Mytilus edulis: one gene and its partners. The protein of the gene in region 2 binds, or shares a complex with, the protein of the main gene of each other region. Links are inferred from orthologs where the notes say so. Each region holds a gene or a part of one and is shown on either strand. Other genes may lie near its edges.

What was found.
Region 1: actin-related protein 2/3 complex subunit 2-like (region 2) and actin-related protein 3 share a complex: the UniProt entries of both Drosophila melanogaster proteins name them as parts of the arp2/3 complex. The link is inferred for Mytilus edulis from reciprocal best matches to the Drosophila melanogaster genes Arpc2 and Arp3.
Region 3: actin-related protein 2/3 complex subunit 2-like (region 2) and actin-related protein 2 share a complex: the UniProt entries of both Drosophila melanogaster proteins name them as parts of the arp2/3 complex. The link is inferred for Mytilus edulis from reciprocal best matches to the Drosophila melanogaster genes Arpc2 and Arp2.

What each region holds. Positions count from the first base shown.
Region 1 is NC_092357.1:11,021,066-11,024,825, forward strand, and holds the start of actin-related protein 3, read left to right. Parts: upstream 1-1,397; 5' UTR 1,398-1,518; coding exon of another isoform or gene 1,519-1,562; 5' UTR 1,563-1,936; coding exon 1,937-2,001; intron 2,002-3,025; coding exon 3,026-3,206; intron 3,207-3,760. UniProt on the Drosophila melanogaster protein: Functions as ATP-binding component of the Arp2/3 complex which is involved in regulation of actin polymerization and together with an activating nucleation-promoting factor (NPF) mediates the formation of branched actin networks.
Region 2 is NC_092345.1:92,662,156-92,665,915, reverse strand, and holds the start of actin-related protein 2/3 complex subunit 2-like, read left to right. Parts: upstream 1-1,437; 5' UTR 1,438-1,531; coding exon 1,532-1,605; intron 1,606-3,760. UniProt on the Drosophila melanogaster protein: Functions as actin-binding component of the Arp2/3 complex which is involved in regulation of actin polymerization and together with an activating nucleation-promoting factor (NPF) mediates the formation of branched actin networks.
Region 3 is NC_092346.1:18,322,317-18,326,076, reverse strand, and holds the start of actin-related protein 2, read right to left. Parts: upstream 2,864-3,760; 5' UTR 2,753-2,863; coding exon 2,705-2,752; intron 1-2,704. Other genes in the region: uncharacterized protein, read left to right, coding at 2,940-3,104. UniProt on the Drosophila melanogaster protein: Functions as ATP-binding component of the Arp2/3 complex which is involved in regulation of actin polymerization and together with an activating nucleation-promoting factor (NPF) mediates the formation of branched actin networks.

The DNA of each region.
Region 1 (3,760 bases), on a different chromosome or scaffold from region 2:
TAAAATAGCGATAAACAGATTATCATTGGTCATCTCAACTCGATTGCTTTTCTCACTTTCGCTGTACCAGCTCAAGCGAGAAAATCAATCTCGTTGAGATGATCAACGATAATCTATAAATATACATTGCACAATAACAAAATAAGACAAATACCCAGCCTAGATAGGCTTATGAGACACCATATATACAAATATATTTCTATTTAACAAATATTTTCATACAAATTGTAAAACATAGTACAATTTCAAATATGTTTGAAATTATCCGGGTTTTTCACATCATAAAAAAAAAAAGAAGTAGGCCAAAACTTTTAAAAATAGAAATTACAAAATTAAGTATGACGTAAAAATAAATGATATGTAATAAAAAAAAATATTTTAAAGAGGTTATATAAACAGATTGCGAAGAATAAAATGAAATTATCTTGTTGTTTTATTAAAAAACCTCTCATATGTGAATTATATTCATCAAAATTTTACATGTTCTGTATTAAATTGTTGACCGTAATCATCTATTGAGAAAAAAATGTAGAATCCAACCAAATTCACTAAAATTTCATGAACCGAAATGAACAGTAATATCTCATGATATGATTTTAACATACACATGTATAAGGTCAATTTAATTAATCATCGTGTACGCTCTCAAAGATAAACCTTGCTATGCATTATTTTATTGGTATTTTAATTTCCATGTTGAATTGTTTTATCATTTCGGGATCTTAAAATTAGCTGATTATGTGTTATAGTCTTTGCTCATTGTTGAAGGCATTACGGTGACCATCATACAACATATATGTTAATTTTCATTATACTTTTGTCCAGTTTTAATGAGTCTCCATTAGGCGGATCCAGGGGGCCCGGCCCCCCCCCCTTTCGTGGGAAAAATTTGGTTGATTATATAGGAAATCACTGAAGCATGAATGGAGCGGGCCCCCCCTTAGGTCATGCAGTCAACGCCCCCCCCCCCCCCCCCCCCCCCTTAGGAAAAGTTCTGGATCCGTCACTGCTTTGTCTGATTATTTTACTACGAGACTGAGAGAGAGAAAGATTTTCTTTACCCCCTATTTCCCCCCTCATTTAATTTAAACAACAAATCATCAATCGGATATAGCATTTTAAAATTTGAAATAAAAAAAAAACAAGCACAAAATTTGAAGATCCAATTCATACATGCATAATATAAATAAAAAATATTTTCCCATTTTGTACCTCATTTACCTTCGACTGGTATCCGTATAATTCAGTCCATCTACCACATTTCTTATTTGTTATGAAAATATATTAAGTTTGAAATTTTAACTTGAAACTTAAAAATAAACAAGTTCGAGCACCAAATTTACTTTACCATTGCATTTTGAGTGGTTATCGTTAAATTTTAGAAATAAAAGTTCTGCATAGAATATGGTAATCACCTCCCATCGGCCATGTTGTTTCTCATGTCGCCGGCTGAGTCACTTCCTGCTTTCTGTTTTTAACTCCAAACAACTTTATTTAACATACATTCAATCATAAACAATGGCTGGACGACTTCCAGCGGTTGTAGTAGACTGTGGAACCGGGTATGCAACAATTAACCTCAATCCCCATTAAAAACCAACCCTACTACCTGCAAAAATGAAAATGGGCGGATTTTCTGAAAGGTGTATGCATTTAATGCACTTACAACGTTCCCAGTAAACAATATCTACATCTTTTGTATTGGTTGTTAAAATAAAACACTAAATACTTCCTTAAACACTTTGTTCACGTGATATAATTACAAAAATTGTGTATTGCCGGTTTATGAATATGTAAATAGAACAGGAAGCTACGTTTTATGACTAAATAGCAATAAACCTGTTGACAAAGTTGTCACTTCCTTGAGGACATCAAGGACCATCTCCTTCAGCCATCTTTATACTTATTGCAATATTCTGGGCGTGTATTCATTAAGATGTCATTCGGAAAGTCATTTGGTCCTACAGGGACCCCAGCTGTTATTATTGACTGTGGCACAGGGTTTGTACATTTTGTAAATACAAGAAAAAGTCATTAAAAATGTTCAAGTTGAAACAGGAAATGAATGTAATGGAGGGTGTTTATGTTTTGTGCACTCATTTTACATGCAATCAGCTATAGGCAGATAGGAATATCTCACCTCCTGGTACATTTAGTAAATGTATCTGTCTAAAAATACAATCATTGGAATAAAATGTCTAAGATATCAAGAAAACACACTTTGCACTTATTTAAATTAGTTAATATAAAATTGTTATCCAAATTAATTAAAGAAAGGAATTCAACTCGCTCAGCCCTCTAACATAAGAAAATCAAAGGTTCTTGGTTGAAGAAATCTACATGTCATATCAAATGTAGGAAAGATTCATTATGGTTGAAATTTTATTGCGGCTGTGGTTATGATTACGACAAATATCAATGCTTCCTGTATTGACAGTTTTTAAATTGGACTGTCAAAACAGATCGACCAATATTCAATCTGAAACATGTGGTAGATTATTAGATTTTTGGCATAAAGCTAACCTTCAGTTATTTTAAATCTTGTGTGAATGCTTGTGATATTCTTATGGATAAAACATGGTTTCCATTAATTCCTCATCAATTAGAAGTTGAAAATGCGTATTATAAATTATTCTAGAACTCTTCACACTTGTATTCATATTATTTCACACTTTAAATGTCCTTTTCATGATTGGCACCCTGCCTTTTTGAAATCCTAGCTTGAACACTAAATTTCTATAGCAAACTTTTTGGAACTTAAACAAACCTGATGAAATCTTTGTTTTCTCTTTTTGCCTATACATGTATAGTTCTCTTTAATATACACCCATGTTTGGCTATTTTGATTTTGAGGTTAAACACTGCAGACAATACACGAAAGAATTGGTTATAATAAATGAATGGTTAATTATTGAGTTTCCTGAAATTAAAGTTTTGAACAGAATTGTCAATTGAGCTGTGCTGTGATAGATATATAATTAAAGTTTTACATGCATTAATATTTTATTTGCTTGTACTTTTACAGGTACACCAAGATGGGGTATGCCGGTAACACAGAACCACAGTTCATTGTACCATCAGCCATTGCTGTAAAAGAATCGGCATCAGTAGGAGATAAAGCTATACAACGACTTGGTAAAGGGGTGGAGGACCTAGACTTCTTTATTGGAGATGAAGCCTTGAGTGCAACATCATACAGTGTAAAGGTAAAGAGTAATTTAGAAAAATATTTGTGGTGACAGTTAAAATGGTAGATAACAGGCTGTAATTCAGTGGTTGTCGTTTGTTTATGTGTTACATATTTGTTTTTCGTTCATTTTTATACGACCGCAAAATTTGAAAAAATTTTCGTCGTATATTGCTATCACGTTGGGGTCGGCGTCGTCGTCGTTGTCCGGCGTCCGGATACTTTTAGTTTTCGCACTCTAACTTTAGTAAAAGTGAATGGAAATCTATGAAATTTTAATACAAGGTTAATGACCACAAAAGGAAGGTTGGTATTGATTTTGGGAGTTTTGGTCCCAACATTTTAGGAATTAGGGGCCAAAAAGGGCCCAAATAAGCATTTTCTTGGTTTTCGCACTATAACTTTAGTTTAAGTTAATAGAAATCTATGAAATTTTGACACAAGGTTTATGACCACAAAAGAAAGGTTGGGATTGATTTTGGGAGTTTTGGTTCCAACAGTTTAGGAATTAGGGGCCAAAAAAGGGCCCAAATAAGCATTATTCTAGGTTTTCGCACAATAACTTTAGTTTAA
Region 2 (3,760 bases):
GGAAGTTTCCACTGGCTTCGTTTTCCCGTTGTCTACCCAAGTTCTGGGATATTGGACAAAGTACGTAAAACTACGTAAATATAAACAAGATGTTTATTTGAAGACATACATTATGGTTGAACATACGATTACATGAATAAATATACTAAAATACGGTGGTGGCTAGTCTACTTGTCCTTATAACGTTCCATATTTGAAAGCCAAACGATATGAGCGTCTGCTCATTTTAAATCCTTAATGTAGACTGCCCAGAACCCGGTGAGTGACGTCATACTTATAGTTCCTATGGACAACGAGCCCGGCCGGGCACGTGCCAGAACAGGAAGTCCCGACAAGGATAATTTCATGGCCGGTCTCGGAAGAAAGAGTTACGGAACTATAAGTAATTCTAAAGTTAACCAATATCCCCAAATAAATAGAATATAGACAAGTAAACAAAGTGACCACCATTACAGTTGTTTACCTCGTTCATGTGCAAAGGTAAATACGGAAATGGAGATAGATAAGGATATATGTACATTTGTATGTCACCGTAGCTATTTATTAGAGTACAATTATATACTAGTACTACACTATATGTTGTGTGTACTATATATTTACTACGTTCATTCATTGACGGACAGTTAGAAAAAGACTTTACTCTATATACTACTCTGCACGAAGTTATTATGCATGCAACCCGCCACTTTTTCTAGCACTATATATACGGTGAACTCGTACTAATGCGAGTTTCACACACTTAAGCATGCACGCTACATAAGGGACACCCTAACTTTTTCCCTACTTTCAGGTAATCACATTTTTTTTAGGCCTTAACATGCATGTACTTCTATCCAATTCATAGTTCAATTTAGAAGGAAACTTCAAGTTAACATTTGAAATAAATGTTTATTATAATTAATATTTTATGTACTTTCAGTGTGAAATAAATGGTTTGCAACATTATATTTCGTCACATATTCAACGCCCTATTTTAATTTACAAAGATTAAGTGGCCATATTACCCTGTGACATGTAATTCTGTTTAAGTGTTAAAATTTTATTTTTCATCCAAGAATGAGTCAGTACACAATGATTTGTGTTATGGCCTGTCTCTCCATTTGTCTCACCGAGTCTCTGTGACCGATGTGGGCGTTTTTTTACCATGGATTTCTTTGAATGACCCATGAAATTTTTCAATAATATTCTTCTACTTTTAAATACCTATGTTTTTAGTATACCTAACTGTTACTTATAACTATTGTCATTCAAAAGTTCTTGATAAAGCCTTAAAGGCAACTTCCGTCTTCCCGGCTGTTTTCAAATCAGAATTAGATTATCCAATAAAATTACCTTTATCAAAACTGCCATCTGGTAAGGCAATTATTTGATTCACACTTAGAGCAAACGCAATAATTTTACAAGTCTCCGGTAACCAGTACAAAAATTGGCCAATGAAAAGAAGTGTTACAAAGGCAAGGTTGGAAATCAACAACAGTTCCGGAATAAGGAATAACCCACCCTTCTTTCAGAGGAATAAGTCACTGCTAAAATGATTTTGCTTGAATTTCATAACCGAATTGTTGAAGAAACACTGAATTTAAGATTCAAAAATGCAAAAGAAGGGTAATAGATTCATTAGATTTGTATAGGGATATAGTTTTAGGGCGTTACAAATAAACCCGGTATAGTACATGCTTCCGTGTTCTTTCGATGTATCACAGTATCAGTACTACCCGTATAATGCAATAAATTGGCATTACACTTACAGCAAAAAATATAAACAATGCAAGATCTATAAAATTGACAATATACATAATTTCATGTTTGCATCACAGCTGAAGATTGACCAATCAGATAATTACATTGTGTTTATCTATTTGAATATTGGAGTTGAAGCGGTGACAAATCTTCGGGTTTTACCATATATAGGTACACAAACTTAAAACTCAATTAATTTTTTGTTGAATCATTAAAATTAAATTTGAGATCGTGTTTTCAAATCTCCTTATCATAATAGACATGTGTTTTAAAAATCTGTGTGATAAATTTTACCGTTTGGTTTTAAATTGGAATTAAAAATTGTATTTTCCCATAGAGTTTGAGGTAAAATCCCGAGAATTTCACCTCCTAGAAATTTAAAGTGCCAGGATGTTCGAAAATATGTATTAACAAAATCGTAGGATGACTTGTAGTCCTACAATGTAAGTCTGGAATGCAACTCGACTTTAAATAAAGAATTTGATGTACATGTACACAGTACACAGTACAGTAGTTGTCATTTGTTTATGTAATTCATATGTGTTTCTCGTTTCTCGATTTTTATATAGATAAAACCATTGGTTTTCCTGTTTGAATTGTTTTACAGTAGTAATTTTGGGGCCCTTTATAGATTGTTGTTCGGTGTAAGCCAGGGCTCCGTGTTGAAGGCCGTACATTGACCTATAATGGTTTACTTTTAATAAATTGTTATTTGGATGGAGAGTTGTCTCATTGGCACTCACACCAAATCTTCCTATATCTATAAATTAAAAAAAAATTAAAATAGTATCTTCGTCTCATTGGTTATTGCACTATAGACGTATTTACACTTGTATGGAAATTTGTCCGCCATTACGTAGAATCACACAGGTTCCCGTAAACTTTGACATAACAATTCAAAAAAATTGACGTCACAATAAAAAAGTGATTGTTGCTTGACATCAAAAGGTTATTCGGAGGCGATCTACGGTCATTTGGAGACAAAATTCAGCTAAATACCTAAAGTGTAAATACGTTTATTGAGAATGCATTGTGACATCACAATTTCCATTAAAAAAGAATGCATTAAAATTTATATGAATTCATATGATATACGAAAAAACATGATCTGACCAAATAATGGCTTCTAAGAAGTTTCCACTTCACAACCTGGGCAGTTTGACCGCAGGTTGTTTTGCCCACACTATTTTCTATTATTCTTAACATTAACTGTTTAGACAAAAGTTTGTTTTGATAAGGCCTAGGAAAAATTTATGATGATTTCCCCTTTCATTACTCATTAGTCCAAATAGTTTTGACGTCTTGAAAGGTTATTTAAAAAAAAAATCTGTGACCCCTTCCTATTACAATGCTGAAACCATTTTTCCAATTGGACTTTGAGATAGAATTTTCTGCAAGTATGATTAAGACTTTAACAAGTTTTTGTGTTGATTTTAGTGCTTCATTAATATAAAGGTTTACAACACCAGGATTTCCCCTGGGTCAATTATTTTTTTCGCCACCTCTTTGGCCAAAACAATATTTTTTTTCGCCACATTATTTTTTTTTTGGCCAAGTAACACAAATATATTTTTCTTTTAAAATTTTCCTTTTTTTTTTCGCACGTGTGTCACTGAAACGACTTTGAAGTACCCACTCAAATCAATTATCGATATCGAAGTTAAATGATAGTTTTAAAATCAGAGACCTTTCTGGCTTTTGTACATTTTTTGTCATAACAACAGTTTTCTTTTCTGGACTATCATTAAAAGAAGGAGAAGAGTCGTCAAAATTTTGCTTCAAACATGTGTGTCGCAAAGTGGTTAATAATCCTTGATGAAACATGTGACGGGCGCCATTTAACCATATCATTTTGTCAATCAACACCTTTATTAATTAGTCCTTTGATGTCGATTGCTATCAAATGCAATCAGCTGATTATTGATTTTCTGTCAAAATCTTATCGAGTTCAAGGTGAATTCCGAGAATTGTCTGATCAGGTAAATTCCGAGAAACCTGAAATAAAAAGTAAATAAACGAG
Region 3 (3,760 bases), on a different chromosome or scaffold from region 2:
GTGGCGTTTGGGCAAACATACAATCTTTTTATTTTGGCCTAAGGGAATATAAATAATATCAATTTTTTTTGTGGAAAATATTTTTTTACAAGGGAGCTTATTTTTGACCCAGGTATGGGGAGGGAAAACAAACAAATCTTTTATTTTGGCCTCAGCTGAAATAAGATTCATAGTGTACATTTAAACATGATTAACTAACACAAAGTTTGGTTTCTTATGCATTTTCCCCAATCTAAAACGTAGTTTGGCGAGCAGTAAACAGACATGTATGTACAATTTTACTTAAAGACATGTACATGTACAAATGTATATGTATTTAAATTTACAGATTGATGTTGATAACTTAGACATGACATATTTTATGAATACCGCTAGAGTTATTTCCCTTCAAACGTAAACAAAAGTTCACTAGGACGCCATTTTGTAATCGATTTCGTAATCAGCTGATTAGCAAACTGCAAAAGATTGAATAGTGAATACAGATACTTATCATGCCATCAACAAATCGGAAGTGAAAACGTGAGGAAGAAAATGAGAAACAGGCCGCAAAATGCAGAAAGCTTTTATCATTTTTTTAAAGGTTTGTAGATTTTTATTACAAAATGGTTACGCACTTGCAATGGTGTTACTGTTATTTCGGGGGTAAAAATAAACTTTTGTCAAAGGGATAATTTAAGGTTAAAGTTGAGTTAGGCCAATGATCTCATGAAATCACTTGCATATTAATTACTTTCAATTAATTCATTTTTTCATCAAATTATTTTTTTTAAATTTACTTCTTCAGTTTTTAATTTGAATTAATTTAAGAAAGGAACAATTTATGAAAAAACTTCCAGATTATTTAAGATATTCTTGTTTTATGTGTAATTTATTTATTTTCAGCACCAAAGAGGCAGAAATAGACTGAATGTGTCAACTGTAAACAATCTTGTTCTAGTGTCAGCAAATAGATGATTTGGATATCAGGGAATGTGTCAACCTGTTTTTAGGGGAAAAAAGGAGGATTTGTCAATGACAATTAATATGACAAAAGCAATATTTTTATATATATATATGACATAGTTCTTTCTTGTTTTTAAACATTTTTAAAGAACTGATTTTGTTTTTAATTGTGTTTATTGTTTTAAATATTTCATATATATGTTTTAAACACTTTTTCTTGTTTAACAATTTGTTTTAATGATTGATTACAGATGTATATGTCCTTTTTATAGCATTAAACTAGTATGTTTTAAATGAATCCATTTTATAGAAATTGCCTGTTTATATTAAGTAAGTGCCCTAAAATTGTTGTCCATCGTGCTTAATGTGCCCTCTGAGCTAACAATTACCCTGCCCTTTTTAAAAGCTGCAGGAAACACTAACAACATACATCATTGTACATGTAACCTGCTAAAAGTAAATAAAAGAGAATTATCATTAGCTGCTTTGTAACTTTTGATAATTTGAATTAGAGTCAGAATAAGTTCAAATGAACAAACCAAGACTTAAAATTGGTATTAAGATTGGGAATAATAACAAGCAGGATATGAAATCAAATCTTCCTGATAACTGACAATCATGACAATGAGAGAAAACAATTTTCAAAATAACGTCTAGAATCTTATTTACATTTCATAACCTAGAAAATACATGCAATCTTTTCTACCACATATAAATGAAACTGAATTCAAAGAAGACCAATCCATTGTCAAATTTTTATTTCAGGCTTTGCTAGTTTTGGACTCCTGTAATCATGTTTCGACAGTCTGCACTAAATACTTTTTGACTACTAGTCTAAAGACCCAATATTAAGAGGTTTTTTTTTATGTGTCTAAACAAAGTTTTTAATAAACTAACTAATTCGAATAAAGTTTAATTAGTCTTGGGCACCAGACTAGTGGCTAAAGCCAGTAGCACTGTTAGTACATTTGTAACAGCGCAGAGAGGCGGATTAGTAACGGTGCACACAGAGTGACACAGTATGAAATTAGCAGAGGCACACTCACCAATGGCCCCTAAAATTTGGTGTGGGCTACTGAAATTTCTTCTTCCCTAATTTAAAACTATATATATTGTCTACAAATTTAAGCTGTGGGCAACCGTGCCAAAATCTTAACTTCAATCCCTGGCAACAGGGGCGGATACAGCCATTTAAAAAAAAATGGGGGGTGTGTTCCGAACCCAGGATAGACAGGGGAGGGGAAGGAGGTCCAACCATATGTCCCCATTCAAATGCATTGATCTTCCAAAAAAAAGGTACATATAGGGTCCAACCACCCCCCTCCACCTAGATCCGCCATTTGCGCAGACTGTTTGGAACCTGTTTTTTTAGAAAACAATACCGCAAGCAAATTTACTGGTACTCAAGATGCAAGTAAAGTTTTCAATGCCTTTCCAAGATTAGAAAAGTTCATTGCATTAAAACTTCAAAATTGTCAACACTACAACAGGGGTAGTTGGCAAATAAAAGTATTGGGTAATAGACATTTGTGGATCATGTTGATAGAATGCAGATTCATAAAGTAATATGTGCAAAGTGAAAATGAATTACATATGTTTGTGTTCATTTAGTGTAGTTTGTGCATTTTTATTCGTATAGTTTTATGCATTAAAAATATAAAGATAAATAGTAAGGAACTCTATATTGACACTTCCGGGTTTGTTTACAAATTTAAAATCATTAGAACGGTAAAGTATGAAATATTTTTTTCAAAGTGCTTACTCCTGTGCCATTATCACAGACAACAACTTTCCTTCCATCTTTATCCATGGCAGATGGTGATGGATTCAGCAGTAATATGCAAACTTTGGTCTTTTCCTTCTAGCAGACAAACCGGAAGTTAACACCCCGGCATTTGACTCACAACGGGAAATACGTTACAAGGTCCGTGATTAGTTATTGTAAAATCTATAGCCAATCAAATGTTCTGTTTTATCAAATCATTTCAACAACAACAATGGCAGCCACCAGCCAAGTTTTGACAGCTGTTTTACTTTTTCTTATTTTCACAAATATAAAAGGAAAATACAAACAGATTGAAATTGAAATAGCAGGAAAGAACGAAAATGAACCTGCAAAGATTTTCTCAGAATCTGAACTCAGACAATTCGATGGATCTGATGTACGACTAACAAATATGTTTTTTTTTCTGAAAAAGGGGGAGCGGATAATTTGGTTAAGTTTGCCGTGAACAGGACATACATTTGCTTCAAAAAATTATATTCCTTCCATCAAAATTTATATTTACAATCTCTTTGTAAAAATTCAGTGTGGGGAAGCAGGATAAATTGCTCTACTGACAAACCGCCCCACTTTTTCACCAAAGTGCCCACAGGCACTTGTTTCTATCCATTGGAAGACCCACTATCAATGTACATTTACGTAAATGTACGTGGCCAACTCGCCCCTCTTTAATGAAAACAAATCTACAAACAATTCAAAATATTAAATAATTAACGAGTTCTGTGCCATAGGGCCGATGATCGGCCCAAAGTCATACTCCTTTCAGTGCCAAAGGGCCGATTCATCGGCCGATTGAAATGATGTTATGAACTACGTAATGTACTATGACGTCGCCGTTTTTGTGATAAATCTAATTCCTCCGTCTTGAAACATTCGCGCGTTTTTTTACCAATATTAAAAGATATGAAAGGGGAGCTTTTTTATGAAATTTATGAAAATAAAATTATGTAAGGATGCGTTTATAAATATATATAAAATTATATAATATTTAGAACTATAGAGTTTCAAATCCACTCTTTTTTCCCGACGCTATTG